Linked DNA regions of Macaca mulatta. The protein of the gene in region 3 binds, or shares a complex with, the protein of the main gene of each other region. Links are inferred from orthologs where the notes say so. Each region holds a gene or a part of one and is shown on either strand. Other genes may lie near its edges.

Evidence for each region.
Region 1: NUP93 (region 3) and NUP107 share a complex: the UniProt entries of both Homo sapiens proteins name them as parts of the nuclear pore complex. The link is inferred for Macaca mulatta from reciprocal best matches to the Homo sapiens genes NUP93 and NUP107.
Region 2: NUP93 (region 3) and RANBP2 share a complex: the UniProt entries of both Homo sapiens proteins name them as parts of the nuclear pore complex. The link is inferred for Macaca mulatta from reciprocal best matches to the Homo sapiens genes NUP93 and RANBP2.
Region 4: NUP93 (region 3) and NUP85 share a complex: the UniProt entries of both Homo sapiens proteins name them as parts of the nuclear pore complex. The link is inferred for Macaca mulatta from reciprocal best matches to the Homo sapiens genes NUP93 and NUP85.
Region 5: NUP93 (region 3) and NUP62 share a complex: the UniProt entries of both Homo sapiens proteins name them as parts of the p62 complex. The link is inferred for Macaca mulatta from reciprocal best matches to the Homo sapiens genes NUP93 and NUP62.
Region 6: NUP93 (region 3) and CETN3 share a complex: the UniProt entries of both Homo sapiens proteins name them as parts of the nuclear pore complex. The link is inferred for Macaca mulatta from reciprocal best matches to the Homo sapiens genes NUP93 and CETN3.

Annotation. Positions count from the first base shown.
Region 1 is NC_133416.1:75,809,287-75,813,410, reverse strand, and holds the start of NUP107 (nuclear pore complex protein Nup107), read right to left. Parts: upstream 2,801-4,124; 5' UTR 2,720-2,800; coding exon 2,712-2,719; intron 795-2,711; coding exon 703-794; intron 223-702; coding exon 136-222; intron 1-135. UniProt on the Homo sapiens protein: Plays a role in the nuclear pore complex (NPC) assembly and/or maintenance. Required for the assembly of peripheral proteins into the NPC. May anchor NUP62 to the NPC. Involved in nephrogenesis.
Region 2 is NC_133418.1:19,345,322-19,348,821, forward strand, and holds part of RANBP2 (E3 SUMO-protein ligase RanBP2), read left to right. Parts: coding exon 1-2,100; intron 2,101-2,970; coding exon 2,971-3,048; intron 3,049-3,500. UniProt on the Homo sapiens protein: E3 SUMO-protein ligase which facilitates SUMO1 and SUMO2 conjugation by UBE2I. Involved in transport factor (Ran-GTP, karyopherin)-mediated protein import via the F-G repeat-containing domain which acts as a docking site for substrates.
Region 3 is NC_133425.1:52,444,468-52,446,794, reverse strand, and holds the end of NUP93 (nuclear pore complex protein Nup93), read right to left. Parts: intron 2,088-2,327; coding exon 1,959-2,087; intron 1,185-1,958; coding exon 939-1,184; 3' UTR 501-938; downstream 1-500. UniProt on the Homo sapiens protein: Plays a role in the nuclear pore complex (NPC) assembly and/or maintenance. May anchor nucleoporins, but not NUP153 and TPR, to the NPC. During renal development, regulates podocyte migration and proliferation through SMAD4 signaling.
Region 4 is NC_133421.1:84,926,482-84,929,962, forward strand, and holds the end of NUP85 (nuclear pore complex protein Nup85), read left to right. Parts: intron 1-286; coding exon 287-404; intron 405-493; coding exon 494-594; intron 595-1,875; coding exon 1,876-2,027; intron 2,028-2,326; coding exon 2,327-2,428; intron 2,429-2,804; coding exon 2,805-2,906; 3' UTR 2,907-2,981; downstream 2,982-3,481. UniProt on the Homo sapiens protein: Essential component of the nuclear pore complex (NPC) that seems to be required for NPC assembly and maintenance. As part of the NPC Nup107-160 subcomplex plays a role in RNA export and in tethering NUP96/Nup98 and NUP153 to the nucleus.
Region 5 is NC_133424.1:62,390,486-62,394,539, reverse strand, and holds the start of NUP62 (nuclear pore glycoprotein p62), read left to right. Parts: upstream 1-1,254; 5' UTR 1,255-1,331; exon of another isoform or gene 1,332-1,453; intron 1,454-2,792; exon of another isoform or gene 2,793-2,904; intron 2,905-3,649; exon of another isoform or gene 3,650-3,794; intron 3,795-4,054. UniProt on the Homo sapiens protein: Essential component of the nuclear pore complex. The N-terminal is probably involved in nucleocytoplasmic transport.
Region 6 is NC_133411.1:96,792,236-96,796,198, forward strand, and holds the start of CETN3 (centrin-3), read right to left. Parts: upstream 2,801-3,963; 5' UTR 2,682-2,800; coding exon 2,665-2,681; intron 839-2,664; coding exon 703-838; intron 1-702. UniProt on the Homo sapiens protein: Plays a fundamental role in microtubule-organizing center structure and function. As a component of the TREX-2 complex, involved in the export of mRNAs to the cytoplasm through the nuclear pores.

The DNA.
Region 1 (4,124 bases), on a different chromosome or scaffold from region 3:
ATAATAACTGCAATCATTATTATTAGTGTTTATTGATATTGTAACCAAATACTATACTTATCATGTTACAATAAATGTTAGTTGCTATTATAATTATCATTATTATTAAATGCTTTAAAAGCAAAAAAGTCTTACAAGGCTGTCGAAATGAGCTAGGAGTTCGAGGGATAACCTGGTTTCTTGGTGTAGTATTACCGAAACTTTCATCTTGAGATGCCTGAACTGTACAATGAGTTAAGAAAAGTTTTCCATGTAGAAAAGATTAAAATGAGAATTAACCATCTTTTTACTATACAAATTATGTGAATACATTTTTCAAGAACAAGGTATTTTACGGCTACCATTTTTCAATGCAAAGGGTAAATAACCCATTCCTTCTGCCATTTAAATTCTCAGACGTCAGTCTTAGATAACTACACACTGAACTAAATGTTTTTAGTCAGTTTTCAAATAATAAAAATCTCAGCAGAAGCTAACCACAATATGATAGTCAGCAGTAAGAAATATCTTTATTTTTAAGGAAATATAATCTTATTAAATTTTTGCATTATATTTACCTAATGACAGCTCTGTGGAGTGAAAAAAATTTCTACAGGATTTTATTATAGCTAACATTTAATACTCTTATAAAAAGAAAATTCTATAACACTGATTCCAAACATGTTACAATTTTTATAATGATGCTTAAATCGCAAAGGATACTTAAAACTCTTTTTTGAGCACTCTGTTTCCGTGCAGTCCGTGTCACCTCTGCCTCCCGGATTACAGGGGATGATATATCTCCAAAGCCACTCCTAAAGTAGTATAATCAAGCTTATATAAGTGAAACGAGAATATAGCATTTGTAAAGAATTTTATCATCACAGCTGGAGTAAAGGACCCTGAGTAAGTTAAGATATAGGTCATTCCAGTAGCCAAGTCTTGGATCTTTTGCTGAGAATGCACTCGTGGCTCCAAATCCTGCTTATTCTTCAAAGTCTTACTCAAATGTTACCTGCACAAAGATTTCTCTGACTTTCTAGTACTCACTATGTTATTTTCTCCTAAAGAATTATTTCAACACTTGGAATCTATATTATAACACTGTTTTAGGTAATTGCTTCATAAAAGTGAATCTTATTTCCCTGGTTGGATTGAGAAGTTACCTAATTGCAGGAATTCTCTCTTCAAAGATTTTCTGCAGAATCCAAAATGCTTTAAACCATGGGTACTATTAAAAAACAAACAACAACAACCAGACAACAACCACCACCAGACAACAACAACAACCAGAGCTTGTGAGATACAACCACAACAACAAACAGAGCTTGTGAGATAGAAGAGTAAGTAAAAAAATTCTGGTAAATTGTAGCAAAATGACCCTTCAAGTTATTTCAACCAAAGAGGTCTCCTGTCCCATCACAACACTCTGTCAGTTTCACTCAAAGGTCTAGAAACTAAATTGTGTGGACTAAAAGGCCTGTGTTTAAGACAAGAATCTAATATGCTTTTCCTCCACTTAAAACCTTCAGATATTCCTTCAGCAGGAAAGTATGGGAAACAACCCCATAGAAAAAATTTTAAATGTTTAATAATTAAAATTAAAAAACAAAACAAACAAAAAACCTACAGATAGCTCTCTCTGGTTTATAGAAGTGCAAATTTCCTAAAATGATATTTACAATGTGACCCCAGTTTAGGCGTTCAGTCTTCTATTCAGCCACAAACATCACTCTAAACATATACTGCATGTGACCACTGAGCTACATGTACTTTTGTTTTTCATATACTAGCACCTTTGAATATGTTTCTTTTACAAAGACCTACATTTGCCCCCTTGGGCACCTGGTCAACAACTAATTACTCCTCAAAGAGCCTCAGGTAGGCTGGAGACACACAGAGGCAGGTTGGCAATTTGGTTCTTGTATTTATTAGCTTCCTAACTTTCAGCAAATTCCTTAACCTCTTTTAGTCTCAGTATTATACATGAAAAAGGGATAACAGTACCTATCCTCATAGGATTGCTCTTGTTCTGAAGATTAAATAAACTGATAATATATATTCAAAGCCAACAATGGCAGTCATATAGTAGGTACTCAATGTTTGGAGTACGAATAATGTACTATTATTATGCAAAGACCAGCTAGAAAGTTACCGTCTTTGAGAGGTCTTTCTGATAGAGTGACAGGGAGACTTAATCGCCCCCAAACACTTATCACTTTATACCGCTTGGTTGTCTCCACTACACAACTAATTCCCCGAGGTGAAGGATCTTGAATAACTGATCTTTGTTGCAGGCGGCTAGCACAGTACCCAGATCACAGAGGGAACTCAGTATCTGATGCTAGCACTTGTAATCAGAAAGTCTGAGCTGAGATCCCAGTATCTTCACTGACTGGCTTTGTGATCACAGGCTGGTCACTTAGCATTTCGAACGCCGGGCTACCTACCCCGCCCACCCCAGGAGCGATCAGTGTTGCTGCCCCAAAGCGCCGAATAGATCGCAGAACGTAGTGGGAATGTAGGGGACCATTATGATCCGTACCCCACCCGACGCAGGCCAAGCGGCCTTTCCCCATTTGTAGCCAAATTTCCCGGCATGGGGAAGGAGTCTTAGGGGAAGCACCCGGGACCTCCTTGGCTTCTTCTGGGAGTCTAGTTTCACCTATTTCGTTTCGCCAACAGGCGAGAGGGGCAAGGCTTTGGGTTCAGCTGCCATCATCAGAACTGACCTGTCCATGGCTAAAGCCTTTTCCACACAGAATAAATGTCGACTCCAGTTTAGCTACCGCGTTTTACCCTTCCCGCTCTCCGGAAGCAAGCCCTTCGACCCGGAAGCAGTCTCTCCCTAAAATAGCCCCACAGAAAAGGGGTAGGGGAGAAGAAACGACGTTCCCATCTAGCGCATGGGCGACTTCAGCCTACAGGTGCCGGCCCGGTGGGCGCAGGCGCAAAAGCTTGCCAATGTGTGCCTGGCTGGACCAGACAGGGCCGGGGGCGGGACCTGGTTGCGTTTAGCCCAGACGCCTTGCGGCCGCTTTGCCTGACCAACGTCTGTGGGCGTGGAACAGGCCCTGGGTTCTCCTACTGGGAAAAATGAAGCATGTTGATAGTCTGGAAAGACGTGAAGTCATTTCCTGGTATTCTCTGTCAGAAAGCGCCTGTTCTTGGAATTCAGATGCGTGGGCTCTGCCCCACACCTCGGGAATCTCTTATCTCTCTCCCTACACTCAGTCCTTTGTTCTCTAGCCCCCTGCAGTTTTTGAAACTGTTTTCCATAACTGCTATTTGTTCTTTACTTGGTATTCTTTTCTATTAAGGAGAAACAGTTCACCTGTATTAAAAAGTAGAAAGGCAAGCGTAAAACATGATGGTATTGCCCTCTATTTCAAAGTGCCGTCTAGGCAAAAAGTGGTATATTTTGGTCTTGAGGGAGTCAGTCACATTTTTGTTTCGGTTTTTGTTTTTTCCAGTTTGAAAGTAGCGACTGGCTATTAACTGACCAGATTACAAAAATAACGTTAGATGCTTCAGTTTATCCGTTTAATAAGCCTGTTGATATGGTCTTTTCTGTTGCTGGCATTTGTACTTTTTAGTAATACAGAATAGGTAGTCATTCTCCCTCGTGGAGAAGATAATTTGAAGGATCACAGGAACTTGAAGAGTTTTTCAACAGCATAGATCTCATGAATCAGATTCTCCAGTCAGATGATGCCATATTTATCAAGAAATCTATCAATCAAAGAGTTATCTGTTAAGGTAATTTGTTTATTGGTTTTGCCATAACCAATTTGTAGATCAGTTCATTTATTGATTTCAGGTTCAGGTACTCTATGCGATGTATGGTTCCACAATAGTCAGCGTGTTAACTGAAGCCTTGAGTTTAGCAGAGGTGCCATGGAAGATCTGGGGAAAGTGAAGAGGTTTTGACAGACTTTTGGGATCACACCATTGATACCTTAAGGCAAGTGACAATTTGGATTTCACAGGTATATAGAAATTGCCAGCTTTTCTTGTCATATATTCCTTGTGACAGTGCTGAGCTTTTTTCTTCTTCTTCTTCTTGCTTGCTTTTTTTTGGACTTGATTTTTTAAATTATGTTTCCTTCCTTCTTTCCTTCTTTTTTTTTTTTTTTTTTTTTTGA
Region 2 (3,500 bases), on a different chromosome or scaffold from region 3:
AAAATGATTCTGGCTTCCAGGCTCAGGATATTAGTAGCCAGAAGAATGGTAGTGGTGTGATTTTTGGTCAAACAAGTAGCACTTTTACATTTGCAGATCTTGCAAAATCAACCTCAGGAGAAGGATTTCAGTTTGGCAAAAAAGACCCCAATTTCAAGGGATTTTCAGGTGCTGGAGAAAAATTATTCTCATCACAATGTGGTAAAATGGCCGATAAAGCAAACACTTCTGGTGACTTTGAGAAAGATGATGATGCCTATAAGACTGAGGACAGTGATGACATCCATTTTGAACCAGTAGTTCAAATGCCTGAAAAAGTAGAACTTGTAACAGGAGAAGAAGATGAAAAAGTTTTGTATTCACAGCGGGTAAAACTATTTAGGTTTGATGCTGAGATAAGTCAGTGGAAAGAAAGGGGCTTGGGGAACTTAAAAATTCTCAAAAATGAGGTCAATGGCAAACTAAGAATGCTGATGCGAAGAGAACAAGTACTAAAAGTGTGTGCTAATCATTGGATAACGACTACGATGAATCTGAAGCCTCTCTCTGGATCAGACAGAGCATGGATGTGGTTAGCCAGTGATTTCTCTGATGGTGATGCCAAACTAGAGCAGTTGGCAGCAAAATTTAAAACACCAGAGCTGGCTGAAGAATTCAAGCAGAAGTTTGAGGAATGCCAGCGGCTTCTGTTAGACATACCACTTCAAACTCCCCATAAACTTGTAGATACTGGCAGAGCTGCCAAGTTAATACAGAGAGCTGAAGAAATGAAGAGTGGACTGAAAGATTTCAAGACATTTTTGACAAATGATCAAACAAAAGTCACTGAAGAAGAGAATAAGAATTCAGGTACAGGTTCTGCCAGTGCCTCAGACACAACAATAAAACCCAATCCCGAAAACACTGGGCCCACATTAGAATGGGATAACTATGATTTAAGGGAAGATGCTTTGGATGATAGTGTTAGTAGTAGCTCAGTACATGCTTCTCCATTGGCAAGTAGCCCTGTGAGAAAAAATCTTTTCCGCTTTGGTGAGTCAACAACAGGATTTAACTTCAGTTTTAAATCTGCTTTGAGTCCATCTAAGTCTCCTGCCAAGTTGAATCAGAGTGGGACATCAGTTGGCACTGATGAAGAATCTGATGTTACTCAAGAAGAAGAGAGAGATGGACAGTACTTTGAACCTGTTGTTCCTTTACCTGATCTAGTTGAAGTATCCAGTGGTGAGGAAAATGAACAAGTTGTTTTTAGTCACAGGGCAAAACTCTACAGATACGATAAAGATGTTGGTCAGTGGAAAGAAAGGGGCATTGGTGATATAAAGATTTTACAGAATTATGATAATAAGCAAGTTCGTATAGTGATGAGAAGAGACCAAGTATTAAAACTTTGTGCCAATCACAGAATAACTCCAGACATGACTTTGCAAAATATGAAAGGGACAGAAAGAGTATGGGTGTGGACTGCATGTGATTTTGCAGATGGAGAAAGAAAAGTAGAGCATTTAGCTGTTCGTTTTAAACTACAGGATGTTGCAGACTCATTTAAGAAAATTTTTGATGAAGCAAAAACAGCCCAGGAAAAAGATTCTTTGATAACACCTCATGTTTCTCGGTCAGGCACTCCCAGAGAGTCACCATGTGGCAAAATTGCTGTAGCTGTATTAGAAGAGACCACAAGAGAGAGGACAGATGTTATTCAGGGTGATGATGTAGCAGATGCAACTTCAGAAGTTGAAGTGTCTAGCACATCTGAAACAACAACAAAAGCAGTGGTTTCTCCTCCAAAGTTTGTATTTGGTTCAGAGTCTGTTAAAAGCATTTTTAGTAGTGAAAAATCAAAACCATTTGCATTTGGCAACAGTTCAGCCACTGGGTCTTTGTTTGGATTTAGTTTTAATGCACCTTTGAAAAGTAACAATAGCGAAACTAGTTCAGTAGCCCAGAGTGGATCTGAAAGCAAAGTGGAACCTAACAAATGTGAACTGTCAAAGAACTCTGATACCGAACAGTCTTCAGATAGCAAAGTCAAAAATCTCTTTGCTTCCTTTCCAACGGAAGAATCTTCAATCAATTACACATTTAAAACACCAGAAAAGGGTAAGTACTTTGTTGTTAAAGTTAAGCACAATTTTTCTTTTAATGTTTAACTTGATGCACTCTTTGTAGAATACTAATGTTGGGATATAAACGATGCTTTGTGAACACCCCCAAAATATTTGAGCAATATATTTTTCTCCCTTAATAAGTTCACGGTGAGGTTTCAAAGAGCAACAGAACTTAGTTTAAGACATTTCAGTAACTGGAAGATACTTCTTTCATGCTAGGGCAGAGCAAAAGAACTCAGTACAGTGTACGGACTCATGCTTGAATCATGCGCGTTAACGAGTCTTTTTTTAAAAAAAAGTTTTCATTTTCATTTGTTCAGTTTGTCACTCAGAAAACATGATACTGAGGCCGGGCACAGTGGCTCATGCCTAGAATCCCAGCACTTTCGGAGGTTGAAGTAGGCAGATCGCTTAAGCTCAGGAGTTCGAGACCAGCCTGGCCAACATGGTGAAACCCTGTTTCTACTGAAAATACAAAAATTAGCCGGGCATGGTGGTGCGTGCCTAGAATTAGCAGCTACTCAGGAGATTGAGGCAGGAGGATCACTTGACACAGGAGATGGAGGTAGCAGTGAGCTGAAATCATGCCACTGCACTCCAGCCTGGCTGGGTGACAGAGTGAGACTTTGTCTCCAAAAAAAAAAAAAAAAGAACATGATACTGAGATGTTCTCATTTTATATGTTGTATGTTAGTCTTGCTCATTTATTAAATGAGCAAAGAATGAAACTACAGGGGTAAATGAATATATAAGACAATCAGATTGGTGGTATAAATTGAGGGATTCTGGCTTTTTATGTTTTAAAAGCATATTCATTTTGTTTCCCAAAATGTTAAAAAATGAAATATTCTTCATTTTCTAGGATTTAATTTTAGCCTTTTTAAATCTAATCCCATGGCCTTTTGGACTAGCACCCCTTCCTCACAGCCTGAGAACAAAGGTATAGAACTAGCATTCTCAGTATGAGATAACAGCAGTTTTTAGCAGCTGGTAGCCCTTAGCAAAGTATTAATAACTGTGGCTGTATGAAATTAAGTACTTAACACTACAACATGCATGTTAAAGAATGCCAGTTTAAGCAAAGCACCTTTTGACTGGTGGCATGACATCCTTTATTTTTGGTTTGTTTTTTAAAATATACTGGGATGCTGATTTGTAATGTACTTCATTACTCTGTTATTTCAAGTCTGCTCAATGAAGACCTATGTTTTATCTAATGTTTATCTTTAGCCACTAACGTCTGCCAGTATTCAAATGTATTGGCAACGGCATGTATACAATATGGAAGAGTGTCCCTGTAGGGCTGTTCTTTTGTGCACGGTTTAGAAAAATGTTGTATTTGAAAATGGACCCCATTTTTAACAGCCAGCATTCTACAGCTTGTGTATTATA
Region 3 (2,327 bases):
TGAAAAGCAAATGCTTTTTACCTGATGTGTAAAACAAACTAGCGAGTGCATGTCCTTACTAATGTCCAAACAAAAAGAAATCTGACTTTGTGATAGGAATACCCATTGTATTTTCTTTAGAAGTGAATGAAAGTGCATGGGCTCTTTGAAATGAGCTCTAGGGATGTTCAAGTAAAAGGATTCACTCCCTTACTGGGCAGTATCTCACTTTAAACCATGAAACCAAGGACATCAGTGGGCTTGCAGACCTCTTGGGCACGCAACTTTTATATATAACCTTTTACTTAATCCTATTCGCCCCTACCTTTCAGAAAAAGAAAGAAAAAGGAGAGTGGTGGGCAAAAGGCAGGCAGGAGAATGATCTTCAGACATGGGACATGGCCTGCCAGAGACCAGCTCCTCTCAGTGGGCAAGCCTGCCTGAACTGTAAGTGGCACACAGAGCACCAAGAAGTATCCACTATCTCAATACTCACATTCACAAACATCACTGCACTGGGTTTCTATTATCAAAAAAGATTCCTGCCAAGTGGTAGGCACCATGAGCCCACCGCTGGCACATCTGGCGTTTAGATTCCTATCTGTCCAGGGTAAGGAGAAGACCAGCAAATGCTCTGGTGCGCACCTGGACGGGCTGACCACTTCAGTGGACCACTCTTGAGCACTGTTACCCACATTCCTAAAGGTGGAAATTTCCACCATCTTTCACTAAGCACAAGTTTTATCAACAACAATGCCTGTGGGGTCACAGTGGAAAGAGCTCACAGACATCCTCAGAGGCAGAAGACAGAACATGGCTTCTTGGCTGCCAAAACCAAGTCTGATGTTAGACACTGAGATCCTGAGAGTCTCATCAAAAATTAAGCGGAAATGTTAAAGGAAAGGTAATTTTAAAAAACATCATTGTGGGGCTGGGCACGGTGGCTCACACCTATAATCCTAGCACTTTGGGAGGCCGAGGTTGGGGGGATCTCTTGAGCTCAGGAGTTCGAGATCAGTCTGGGCAACATGGCAAAACTCCATCTGTATATAAAGTACAAAACTCAGCTGGGTGTGGTGGTGCACACCTGGAGTCCCAGCTACTTGGGAGGGTGAGGTGGGAGGGTGGCTTGAGCCCAAGAGGTGGAGGCTGCAGTGAGCTGAGATCATGTCACTACATTCTAGCCTGGGCGACAGAACCAGGCCCTGCCTCAAAAAAAAAAAAAAAAAAAAAAAAGAAAAGAAAAGAAAAGAAAACACCATTGTACTATCCCCTTATGGTTTAATTGGGTCAAAAAATACCTTTGCTCTTTTTTTTTTGTAATCAGACAACATATGCTGTGAGCCCCAGGGTTCTAGCTACCTGGATTCCACTTGACCCACGCACTGCCAGAGGTCCCACAGGCAGCAGAAAGGGCACAGGTGTCAGAGACCCAGCCTCCAGACATGGCCCCTTCACCTACCTGCCACCTGAGGGCAGTTGCTTCCCAACTCCACAGCTCAGTTTCCTCAGCTGTGAGAGGGGATAAGATGCTGTGCTAGTTACCTCTGTAGGGTCACTGTGAACACCGTGACAGGAGAAACAAGGGTTCACATTAAATTAATGTGTTGATCAAAAATAAAGTATGGTTTTAATAAAAGTGTTCACTAATGAGCTAGGACTAACAAAATAAACTTATCTTTTAAAATGTGCAGGAAGTTCTTAAGGAGTCAACTAGAAATTAGCATTCTGTGTGATCTGTTAAAAGGTAAGATTTGCAGACCTAGCACTTCTTTTTATTTTTTTAAGCTTGAGAAGAGCAGCAATCCCTTTAATGTTTGATTTCCTCTGGGAGCCCCCTAACACGAGATTTATCCAGCTGCCAGGTACTAAGGAGAAAGAGCAGTTTTGGGTCACGTGGTCTCTTAATAAGAGTGCAACGGATTCCAAACCAGAAAGGTGGTGCTCAGCAATGTTTCTCGTGAATGCTGGGATCTTACAGAGTCGCGGTCCTCGATGACTCTCTGGGGCCTGGATGATGAGGATGGACTTGTCCCCTTGAGCCTCTTAAACTGTGTGAACAAGATGTTCATGGTGGCAAGAAGCACTTCTGAGAGGTTGTGCCTGATCTACACAGAGAGAAAAACGGAGTAAAGAACAAGAACCAAGCCTTTCGGGCCAACCACAGATGGAGGGAGGGTGGGCTGCTCCAGGCGGGCCTGGTCGCATCACTCCTCACCATTACCAGGTGGAGAGCCACACAGTCACCCAAAAGGAGCTGATGGCACTGAAACATCAAGTGTGAGAAAAAACCCCAAGCAATGCTCCTCAGGTCAGGTGGTTACTGTTTCTGCTCCTTTATGCTGTTT
Region 4 (3,481 bases), on a different chromosome or scaffold from region 3:
GTAATAGAAGAGCTGACACGTAGGGAGAAACAAAAATCTTTTGCTACCCTTGAAGCCACACACTCACGGAGCCAGTCCTGCCGTGACGGGCACTTACACTCTTAGCAGAGCCCAGACACTGTTAATCAGCCTGAGTTTCCAGCTCTGCCAATCCAGCTGCGTTTAGAGCCCACAGAGTGGCTTTGGGGTGGAGTGAGGCTGTGAGGCCACTCTGGTCCCCACAGGGCTCAGGAATGGAGTGATTTGTGGAGTGAAAGCCGTTCACCTTTTCTTTTCCCTCACAAAGTTCGCAGCATTTGTAAGATCTTAGCCATGAAAGCCGTCCGCAACAATCGCCTGGGTTCTGCCCTCTCTTGGAGCATCCGTGCTAAGGATGCCGCCTTTGCCACGCTTGTGTCAGACAGGTGGGTACCGCTGGTGTTGGCTTCCCAGGGACTGGGTGGTTGAGGTGGGCCTGAGACTGCTGCTCTGATGTCTGGGCTGGGCCCTGCAGGTTCCTCAGGGATTACTGTGAGCGAGGCTGCTTTTCTGATTTGGATCTCATTGACAACCTGGGGCCAGCCATGATGCTCAGTGACCGACTGACATTCCTGGGTGAGTCCCTGGGTTTTGTGCCCTGTGCTTTAGACACAAGTGGGTAGTTGGGGAGGTTGGAGGGATCATATCAGACCTCCCAGCACTTCCTTCATATATTCCCATTGCATCAGTGGCCCCAGAAACATCCTCCGTCATGTCCAGGATCGTGAGTTTGGCTGTCACATCTCCTTAGTGCCTCCATGTTTCTGTCTTTTTTTTTTTTTTGAGACAGAATCTTACTCGCTCTGTGGCCCAGGCTGCCAGGCTGGAGTGCAGTGGCATGATCTCAGCTCACTGCAACCTCCACCTCCTGACTTTAAGCAATTCTCATGCCTCAGCCTCCCAAGTAGCTGGGATTACAGGCATGCGGCACCACGCCTGGCTAATTTTTGTCTTTTATTTATTTAGCTTTTTGGGACAGTCTCACTCTGTCACCCAGGCTGGAGTGCAGTGGCGTGATCTCGGCTCACTGCAACGTCTGCCTCCCGAGTCCAAGCGATTCTCCTGCCTCAGCCTCCCAAGTAGCTGGGACTACAGGCATGCGCCACCATGCCTGGCTAATTTTTTGTATTTTTAGTAGAGATGGGGTTTCATCATGTTGGCCAAGCTTGTCTCGAACTCCTGACGTCAAGTGACCTGCCCACTTTGGCCTCCCAAAGTGCTGGGATTAGAGGCGTGAGCTACTGTGCCAGGCCAGTGCCTCCATGTTTCCTTTTTTTTTTTTTTTTTTTTTAAAAGATGGAGTCTCACTCTGTCTCCCAGGCTGGAGTGCAGTGGTACGATCCCGGCTCACTGCAACTTCCACCTCCCAGGTTCAAGCGATTCTGCCTCTTCAGCCTCCCAAGTAGCTGAGACTACAGGTGCATGCCATAATACCTGGCTAATTTTTGTATTTTTAGTAGAGATGGGGTTTCACTATGTTGGCCAGGCTGGTCTCAAACTCCGGACCTCAGGTGATCCACCCACCTTGGCCTCCCAAAGTGCTGGGATTACAGGCATAGGCATGAGCCACTGCACCTGGCCTAGTCAATCTTTTAATCCATGACTGTTGTTACGTATTTTGACTCTGATGTTTCCCCAGATTTGGCTCTTTGGAGTTCTTCCAAGTCTGCTTTGAACGCTCTTGGTCTGCATCTCATTGGGGCCTATGAGTTTGGAGATAGAAAAAATCTCCTGCTCTGTAGAGTGGCTGGTCTGTGGTTTTTCTTCTCTTGTTTAGGGCCAGGGTGACTTTTGTAGGTGTCACTTGGGCAATTTGGGGGAATATGCACGTTACCTAGTGCTCTTGTTTCGCCGTAGGAAAGTATCGCGAGTTTCACCATATGTACGGGGAGAAGCGTTTTGCTGACGCAGCTTCTCTCCTTCTGTCCTTGATGACGTCTCGGATTGCCCCTCGGTCTTTCTGGATGACTCTGCTGACAGATGCCCTGCCCCTTTTGGAACAAAAACAGGTGAAGGTTGCAGCAGGGTGGTTTTCTTTGCTTGTCCCTGCTGGAGCTTAGTTGTGTAGCTGTTGGCAACGTGTGTTTCCTCCCTTGTCGTTCTGCCTGCGCACGTGTGTTCCCCTTAGCACCCTCTCTGCAATTCCAGACTCACACAGGAAACACTGCTTAATTTGAAATGAGGTCTTCCTGTACAGAGCACACTGTTGAGAAAGGCATGAAAGGAAGAACGTCCGAACGTGGGCCCCTGCCCAACCAGTGCAGGCCTGGGCTGGGGGCAGCCAAGCAAGGCAGGCTCTCTTCCCTAGGTGATTTTCTCAGCAGAACAGACTTACGAGTTGATGCAGTGTCTGGAGGACTTGACGTCAAGAAGACCTGTGCGTGGAGAATCTGATATTCAGCAGCTCCAGGTCATTTTCACTTCTGGGCTGATGGTTCCACATGGAGGTGGGAAAAGGCTCCCTCTATCTCAGACTTCCCCTTCCCTCCAGAAACACTGGCTCCTGTGGACACATGTGCCTCTGTTCCCCTTAACCTGTGTCATTCACACACCACCTTCTTTTAGGAGGAAATGAGGGATTCTAGTGTTCTGACCTCTACATTTTGCTCTTTCCTGTTCATCATTTCCAGTATGGCCCTTTGGTATTGCTTTCTTTTATATTGATAATTTTCTGGAAGCTACTATGAGTGTTAAGTGCCCTCTACCTTTGGATTAGCTAGAACCTTCGGGAGTGTGAAAGGGCTCCTTCCTACTCTTGTCTCATGCTGGTGCTCTCTGCTTTGCAGGATGAGGACATAGAAACCACCAAGGTGGAAATGCTGAGACTTGCTCTGGCACGAAATCTTGCTCGGGCAATTATAAGAGAAGGCTCACTGGAAGGTTCCTGAGAACTGCTTCATTGTGGTATCTTTGTATGGCAATGTATATAGATTTTTTAAAGGAATAAATGTGTTGCAAATGTAGGTTCTTAGAGTCCACCCAGGGAGTTTATCTGTCCAGTCTGAACCTGAGGTAGTAAGATTAAAAAATGCTTGTTTTATGTTTTTTTTTTTTGAGACACAGTCTTGCACTGTTGCCTGGGCTCGAGTGCAATGGTGCCATCTCAGCTCACTGCAACCTCCGCCTCCCAGGTTCATGTGATTCTCCTGCCTCAGCCTCCCAAGTAGCTAGAATTATAGGTGCACACCACATCCAGCTAAATTTTTTGTATTTTTAATAGAGATGGGGTTTCACTGTGTTGGCCAGACTGATCTCAAACTCCTGACCTTGTGATCTGCCCGCCTTGGCCTCTCACAGTGCTGGGATTACAGGCGTGAACCACCGCACCCAGCCTTCTCTTATGTTCTATTTGATGTGGAACTGTCTTCCTGTGCCTCCTTAGATAAGAAACCACTCCCAGGTCTGGCGCAGTGGCTCACGCCTGTAATCCCAGCACTTTGGGAGGATCCCTCAACCCCAGGAG
Region 5 (4,054 bases), on a different chromosome or scaffold from region 3:
GAAGCCAAGCCACACCCCCAGGCACGTCCACGGGGCTCCTCCCTCCCCCTTCCAACCACAGTTTATAACTAAGCCTCAGCCTCTCCGAATTCTAAATTTGCCCTTTCTTTACCCAAATCTGAGCCCCACCCACTCCCAAGGGAATTTCTTTAGGTCCTAAGGTAGGACCGATGCCCCACCCTTTCCCCCAATACAGAAACCTAAGGGTCTCCCAGGGGAATTACCTTAGGCCCCTCCCATCCACCTCAGAATATTCCGCTTCATGGAAAAACTCAATTCCAGGGACATTTTCTTCCAGCCACGCCCCTTGCCCTAAAATATTTCCTTTTGGCCCCACTGCCTTCCTAGCTTCCATCCCAAACCAGTGCCCAGGGGAACTGCCCCAGGCCCCAGCCCTTCAGCAATGTTATCCACTCAAATCCCACTCCTCGCTTTGCCACTGTCCCTCCAAGCCCCGCCCCTCATTGTTTATTTAGCTCCGCCCCTCTCCGATTCCCCAGAGGCCCCGCCTCTTTGTCCCATCGAAGCCCCACCCCTCAGCTAAAGGTTGGCTTAGCCCCGCCCCTTCTCACAATGGGCTCACGAAATCCCACCCATCGTGACGACAGTGGTTCTAGCCCCACCCACTTAGAGGGCTGCCTCTAAGCCCCGCCTTCTCCCCTGTCAATCTAAGCCAGTCCCCGCCTCAGCAGGTGCCTGGTTTAAAAGGAAGGAAGTTGGGCTGTGAGCCAGAGCAACGTGGAGCAGGGAGGGTGGAGGAGGGTAGAGGGGGCAGGCAGAGAACTGCTACCCGAACGCCAGCCGTCCACACGCGGCTATGCGCCAAGGGCCAAAGCGCATGCTACGTCTTCCGAGCTGTCCAATTGCTTTACACCTCCGCCTTCTTGGGGATCAGTGCGCATGCGCGGACACTCAGGGCCCGCGCTCATTCATTACGGGGCACTGGTAGGCTACTGCGCAGGAACAACCAAGCACGCACAGAATCGTTTAGAAAAAGACCACACCCTCCCTTGGAGTGCGCAGGCGCAGCCACACGCCGGCTGACAAACATCGAGTCTCTAGAACTCTCCCACCCGGCTCCGGGCCCAGTGCGCATGCGCAGCCGCGCGCCTTCGGCCCACCGTACCTCTTCTGCGCCTGCGCGACCGTGATTCCCCGCTCGCAGCTCCCCTCCCCCCAGGGCTCCCTAAAGAGGGCCACGAGCTGCGAAAGGGCGGGAAAGGCGGTTGGAGAGGGACAAGTAAGCGGTTACTCACTCCATGGCTGCAGAAAGGAGAGGCGGCGGCGGCCTCGGCTGAAGAAAGAAGGTGGGAGCGGAGAGCGCAGGCGTGGTAAGCGCGGAGTCGGGCTGGGGGCACAAAGGGGTCGAGGCTACAGAGCCATGGCTGGGGCTACGCAGGCGGAGGCGGAGAACGCTGTAGTTAGAAGAGACCGTGATCTGAGGACGGGGAATGAGGCGGCCCCGGGGACTGGGGACAGAAATACTTCGGGTGGCGCAGCATGGCCCGCCCGGATCCTTCCGCGCCCCGCCCTCGCGGGGCCCCAACTGGGTGGCAGCCCGGTCCCCTCCTCCTGGGGATCAGGGGATCCGACCTCTTCCTTCCCACTCCTAGGGTCCAGGCCCCTCCTCCCTTTTGAGCCAGGGATCCGGCCCTCTCGTAGCTCCGGGGTCTGGTTTCCTCCTAAACTCTGGTTTCTTTCTTTTTCTGCCTGTGAGGTCTGGGCCTGCTTCCTCCTGTGATTTTGTGGATCCAGTCTCATTCTCTTCCCGGAGACCTGCACCATTTAATTTCTGTTTCCCTTTCCCTGCTTGCAGAATTTCCTGCCAGCCACACTTTTCATGTTTTCATCCCCCAACTGCTGACCCCGAGAAACCCTCGTGGGTTAGAGTCCAGCGTGAGTCACAGCACTCTCCCAAACACAGACCTACCAGGATGGCCTCGGGCAAATAGCTTAAGTTCTCTTGCTTCATTTCCCTATCCGTAAAATAAGAAAAATCAGCTCTCCTGGTGGGTTTATGAAACTCAAGACGGTGTCTGGCAAGCCTTATGCACAGAGTTCAACTCATACGTTCCTGTTCAATTTTTTTTTTTTTTTTTTTTTTGGTGAGATGACGTCTCTCGGTCTCTGTCGCCCAGGCTGGAGTGCAGTGGCGCGATCTCGGCTCACTGCAAACTCCGCCGAGTTCACGCCATTCTCCTGCCTCAGCCTCCAGAGTAGCTAGGATTACAGGCGCCCGCCACCACGCCCGGCTAATTTTTTGTATTTTTAGTAGAGACGAGGTTTCACCTTGTTAGCCAGGATGGTCTCGATCTCCTGACTTCATGATCGGCCCGCCTCGGCCTCCCAAAGTGCTGGGCTTACAGGCGTGAGCCACCGCGCCCGGCCTCAACATATTTTATTGGGGCCCAGCCTCACTTCTTCTTTCCCCCTTACAAGAGCCGCAGACGTTGGACTGTCTAACTCTTGCTGTCGTTCTTCTGTCTCCCTCATTCCTCTGAAGTGTCTGTTTCCGGCCATCCTCATCTTCCGTTCCAAATGATGGGTGCCCAGGCCCCATCCCCTGGCAGGGATTCAGACATCGAGGCCCCAGCTGCGTCCTTTTCTCCATCCCTTGCCCTTGGCTTCCTTTCAAACAGTCCTTAGCTTCCACGGGATAGGAACTATCTCCCAACCCTGCCAAAAATGGAAGATCTCCGTTTCCCTTTAGTCAGAGGGTAGCCATCTTGCCCCTTCTCATGCACAGGGCCCTCCACCAGCCGAGGTGGATGTCAGTCTTTTCTCTCTTGCAGAAACCCACTTTGTCCCATCCACGTCAGGACATCCCAGCTGGAGTTCAGCCTTCATCCCTTCTGTGGCAGTTAGGAGACTGAATCAAGGTCCAGAGAAGGTGGAGGAATCCTGGTATTGAGCGTTTTACACAAGCTTCTTTCTCCTCCCTTACTTGTCGCGGGCAGGAAGCCCTTCTTGGGATCTGACCACCTTCCCTTAGAGCACTTATTGTCCACTTTGCCAGCTTTTGAGCACCTGCCCTATATTTCCTTGAGCTTGTAGGGGTTGTGTTATCACTGAGACAGTATACAGAGTAGCAGCTAAGAGCATAAACTGAGCTTGTCCCATCCGTGGGCCTGCATGTGGCCCAGAATAGCTTTGAATGCAGCCTAATACAAATTCGTAAACTTTCCTAAACCATACGAATTTTTTGCGAGTGTTTTTTTTTTTTCCTTTTGAGCTCATCAACTATCATTAGTGTTATTTTATGTGTGGCCTAAGACAATTCTTGCGATGTAGCCCCAGGAAGCCAAATTTTATACATCCTTGGCATAGACTCTGGAGCCAGATTTATGAGTTCAAAACCTGACTGCACCCCTCTTATTAGCTGTGTGACCGTAGCCATTTCCCTTCCCGGTGCCTCGGTTTCCCCTGTGGTACAAGGTGGTGTTAAGAGTACCTGCCTCTGGGCCAGGCACGGTGGCTTACGCCTGTAATCCCACCACCCTGGGAGGCTGAAGTGGGCAGATTGCTTGAGCTCAGGAATTCGAGACCAGCCTGGGCAACATGGTGAAACCCCGTCTCTACAGAAAATACAAAAAAATAGCTGGGTGTGGTGGTTTGTGCCTGTGGTCCCAGCTACTTGTGAGGCTAAGGCAGGAGGATCACTTGAACCCTGGGGTGGGGCAGAGGTTGCAGTAAGCGGAGATTGTGCCACCACACTCCAGCCTGGGTGACAGAGTGAGACCCTGTCTCAAAAAAAAAAAAAAAACAAAAAAAACAAAACTGCCTGCCTCATAGGGCTGATTAAATGAGTTAATCCGCGTCGAGCAGTTAGACTAGTGCCTGGGACACAGTAGGTGCTGCATAAAAGTGGTTACTGTTACTGCTATAATTAAGGTGGATGTGTTCTCATTCCATTGCTGTGCAGTAAGTCCAACTTCCTTCCACTTCTCAGTATAGGTTTTTGAGCAAAAGCAGATGGAATTAAGGGTAGACTGTTGGACAGACTGCCAGTGGTAAGGACGCAGAGACGTGCCCTACCCCAGCCCCCCACCGGCAG
Region 6 (3,963 bases), on a different chromosome or scaffold from region 3:
CCTTAAGAAATTACAAAAATTAAAACTATCAAATAAACACTTACATTCACCTATCCATTAAGGCTATTAAAAATCTCAAAATACTATCTTTCCCACTGTGCTGAAAGTAAGTCCCATTCTACCCTAAACCCAAATCTCTCCTTATACCCTGACAAATAATAATTTACAAATCCCTCTCTACACCTTGACATTCTAGGTCTTAAAGTTGACATTTTTACCTACAAGCATGTGTCAACATCAAACAGCACTGAAGTTGTTTGTACCACAGAAAGTGGATTGAGACTATGTTACTAACAAATACAAATTATAAGATTAAAAGACAACAATCCCACAATCTGAAAACAGTATGAGTCACCAAGAAACAAAAACAAAAACAAAAAAAACAGTGAAAAGAATATGGTAATAGTTTAAATTCCAGTTTGAAATCCTTTAATTATGTCAGTGAAAAATAAGCACCTTCCCTAGGAATGTATTGTTACATTTAAAATGCTATTCGTTTTATCACGTGAAAAAGATTTTCTAAAAACTGTGTTAGGAGTTCTATTCAGTATTATTATAGAATCTAACTATGAATGCTTAAAATGCCTTCATAGTTCCAAAACCAATTTAGTTAAAATAATTACTTAGAAATGTAATGTAAAGCAACTGTCAAAATGCAAATCATTTTAACACAGAAACAAGTATTTTAAAGTATACCATTACCTTTAATTCATGATAATCTATTGCTTCATCTTTGTCTGTATCAAATAGTTCAAAAGCATCTTTAATTTCTTGTTTCTGTTCCTCAGACAGTTCTCTTCTTTTTTTCCTCTTTGTTTTGTCTACTACAAGCTCACTTCTATGAAATGGAAAGAAAAAGCCCTTAGTCCACTTTAATTCTCTTTACTAACAGAAATTAGCCAATAATTATTTTCTAAATTTCAAAAAAGAAAGTACTTTGGAGAAAGACAGGGAAACTTTCCCTTTATGAGTCAATGCCCTGTTTATTCCATAGTCTAAATTGCTATAAATATGAACTTCCCAAAACTAAAGAGTGTTACAGATTATTAAAAGAAATGAGGACCAAACTTTTCCTTTTCCCAGCTTTTTATTTATTCCCACTTTCCCTAACTTTTTATTTATTCAAGAACTGTGAATAAGCAACATTACTTTTATGTCTGAAACTCCAACCAACTCCAACCAAAAAAAAACAAAAACACTCACATTATTCTACAAGAATGTTAAAGAAACCAAAAAATCTCCAAATGAAACCAAAATTCGTAACTGACAATCACCATATATCGGTTTACTTTTGATAGTTCTGATAATTAAGTTCATAAAATTACTACAAAAAATACAACTGGATTAACTTATATTTTGGGACTGTTGGTTCAAAATGTTTTTAGATTACACGTTTCTAACAGTTTGGCAATTTATGTGTCATTTCCTCCACTGATATTAACAAATCACCCAAAATATTAATGAGTCTAAACATATGACAAATATTAGATGTCAAAAAAGTATACAATATTTGTGCTTCATAAGTCTTGTCTCACTTAAGATGTAAACTGGAGGTTAAACTTCTCATAAACTCTGGAAACGCTTAAAGAAAAAAGCAAAAATTACTTTAAAGCCAGAAATGTTTTCCGTAAGAGCTGCCCATCTAAATGTGCTCCAAGTTTTCCAATGGAGCCGCAACACTGGTATAAGAACAAGTTTTGAAACACACAATCTGGTAACACATTAACATGTCAAAACCAGTTGACTGTATTTAAAACACGTATCTAGCTGCATTTGAAAGTCGTTTTGGTCTCTGAACGCTACAAAAAAAAAAAAAAAAAAAAAGGCTAGGAAGTGACCAGTAGATGCAGTATGACAAAGCTGAGGAAGATCTTCCTTTCATGAGACCTGACTTGACACAAACTTGGGTATTCCTGGGGTCAGTCTTTTCCTTCCTGAGACTTTTAGAGGCCAAGTCCAGAACCGACCCACCCCTGACCCCATCCAAGGGTACCATGATTATCCCTTAGCAGAACATGGAACATTTTTAGAGTGTCCTAAGTATATGTATAGTTTTACGGTACAACGTCTACGTAGGGGGAGCGGGTAACAGACAGAGGGTTAGAGGTTAGAACTGAAAGGTAAAGAAATGAAAGAAACAGGAAATCCAAGAGACAGTTTGCCAATTAGTCACTAAAATGGGTTTCTAATTACACCGTAAAGCAGGACCTTGGGAGAATAGCAAAGAGTTTTTTGTTATTTCCAAAATTTATAGGTGGATGATTGCATCAGCAGCAGAGCAGCGGAGGTGGGGCCCTGGCCAGGCATACGAATTGAATGAAGGGATGTTCCGCGGCCTGATCTCTCAGAGCAACAGAGTAGAAGCCTCGCGATATTTCATTCCCTCCCCCTCGCTCGCAACTAAGCCCATTTTTTTGGTAGTCGAAAGCCCTACGCGCTGACAGAAATAACCTCCTTAGTAGAAATGCACTGGAAGTCTCGTTCCCTGCAGGGCACCAGAGCCCAGAGGGTGAGTGATCCAGACAGGCTGCCCTAGGCTCCTTTCCCGCATCCCAAACAGCATCCCCTGCCTCGCCACGGCCCCAAACGGCCTCCCTTCCACACACACCCTCCCTAGGTCCCGCTCCGGGGTGTGGAGAGCACTGCCGCCTCCTTATTACCGACCTCAGAGCTAAACTCATTATCTCTTCGGACAGAGTCGTTCCTCTCAAGAAACGATTTTAACCCCCTACCCAAAGCAGCAAGACTCCCACAACCGTTCAACAGACACGAACGACCTCAGCGGCCTCAGGGACCTCCCACAACATAGACACTTTTGAGCTGGATTGGTTGAAATGTCGCTATGGTTCTGCCCATTATGGCGGAAGCTTTACCAGTTTTATTTTAATTGGGTACGCTTTACGTCAATCAAGAAAAAAAAAAAACCTCTCTCTCCCCGCCCCCCCCCCCCCGCCACCCACCCCGCCCCTCCATTCCTAGGGCCGCTCTCGCCCTTCGGATTGGCCTGATGCCTTTTTCCCCAAATCCTTTGCGGGTCCGGCCTCCGATCCCTGTGTGGTGGTTTGCGTAGTGGGTGCTCCTAGTCTCTCGCGTATTGTCCTGCGGTCTGTGGGCCGACGTTCGAAAACTGGATAGATAACTTGGACGGTGGGAAGGGAAGGGACACGCTGCACGCCACCCTCCGGCTAGAAGGAGGCAGTAGTTGAGGAACAAGGTCTGCGAAGCGTGGCTCTGCTCTGTTCTAAAACTTTGGATGGCTTCAGTACCTGGGGAATGTCTTTAAAATGCAGACTTAAATGCCCCTTTCTCCATTCTAATTTCAGTAGGTATGAATCTGCGTTTGTATTCCTCACAAGCCTTCCAAGTGATTCTGAGGCAGGTGCTGTGACTATACTTGGATTATCACAGGGTTAGATTATCAGGCTATTTATGGTGATGCTGTATCTAAACCGCCCTTCCCTCTCCTTTTCCTCCTTTGAACTGTTTGAAACGGATTTGTTGGCTTCTGTCTCTTATTTTACGGTGCTGTAAATTGTTAATACACGTGAGACTGTATTCACTACCAAACCAAGTCTCCTAAAGCTCACTTGAATGTCTACTTATTCGTCTCCCTTACCAGGTTCAGTTTCTTGAAGGCCATGATTATATCTATTTAACGCTTTTCCTTGTACCTAATAAAATGTCTGGTGCATAGGTGCTCGGTAAATTGAGTGGAATCTTTTGAAAACCCACAAAATACTGAGCTAAACAGCAAATCTCATAAACGGGAATAAAATAGCCTGAGAATGGGAGTTGAAGGCGGAGAATATGTAAACATATGTTTAAGGGATGTATATAAAATTTTAGAGAAGGGAGAGAGCACAAGATGGGCTTCCTAAAGAGGTGGCATAAACGTTAGACCTACAAGGATGGGCTAAATTTGCACAAGTAAAGATAGTATGATAGAACAAGCTAAAAATTAGC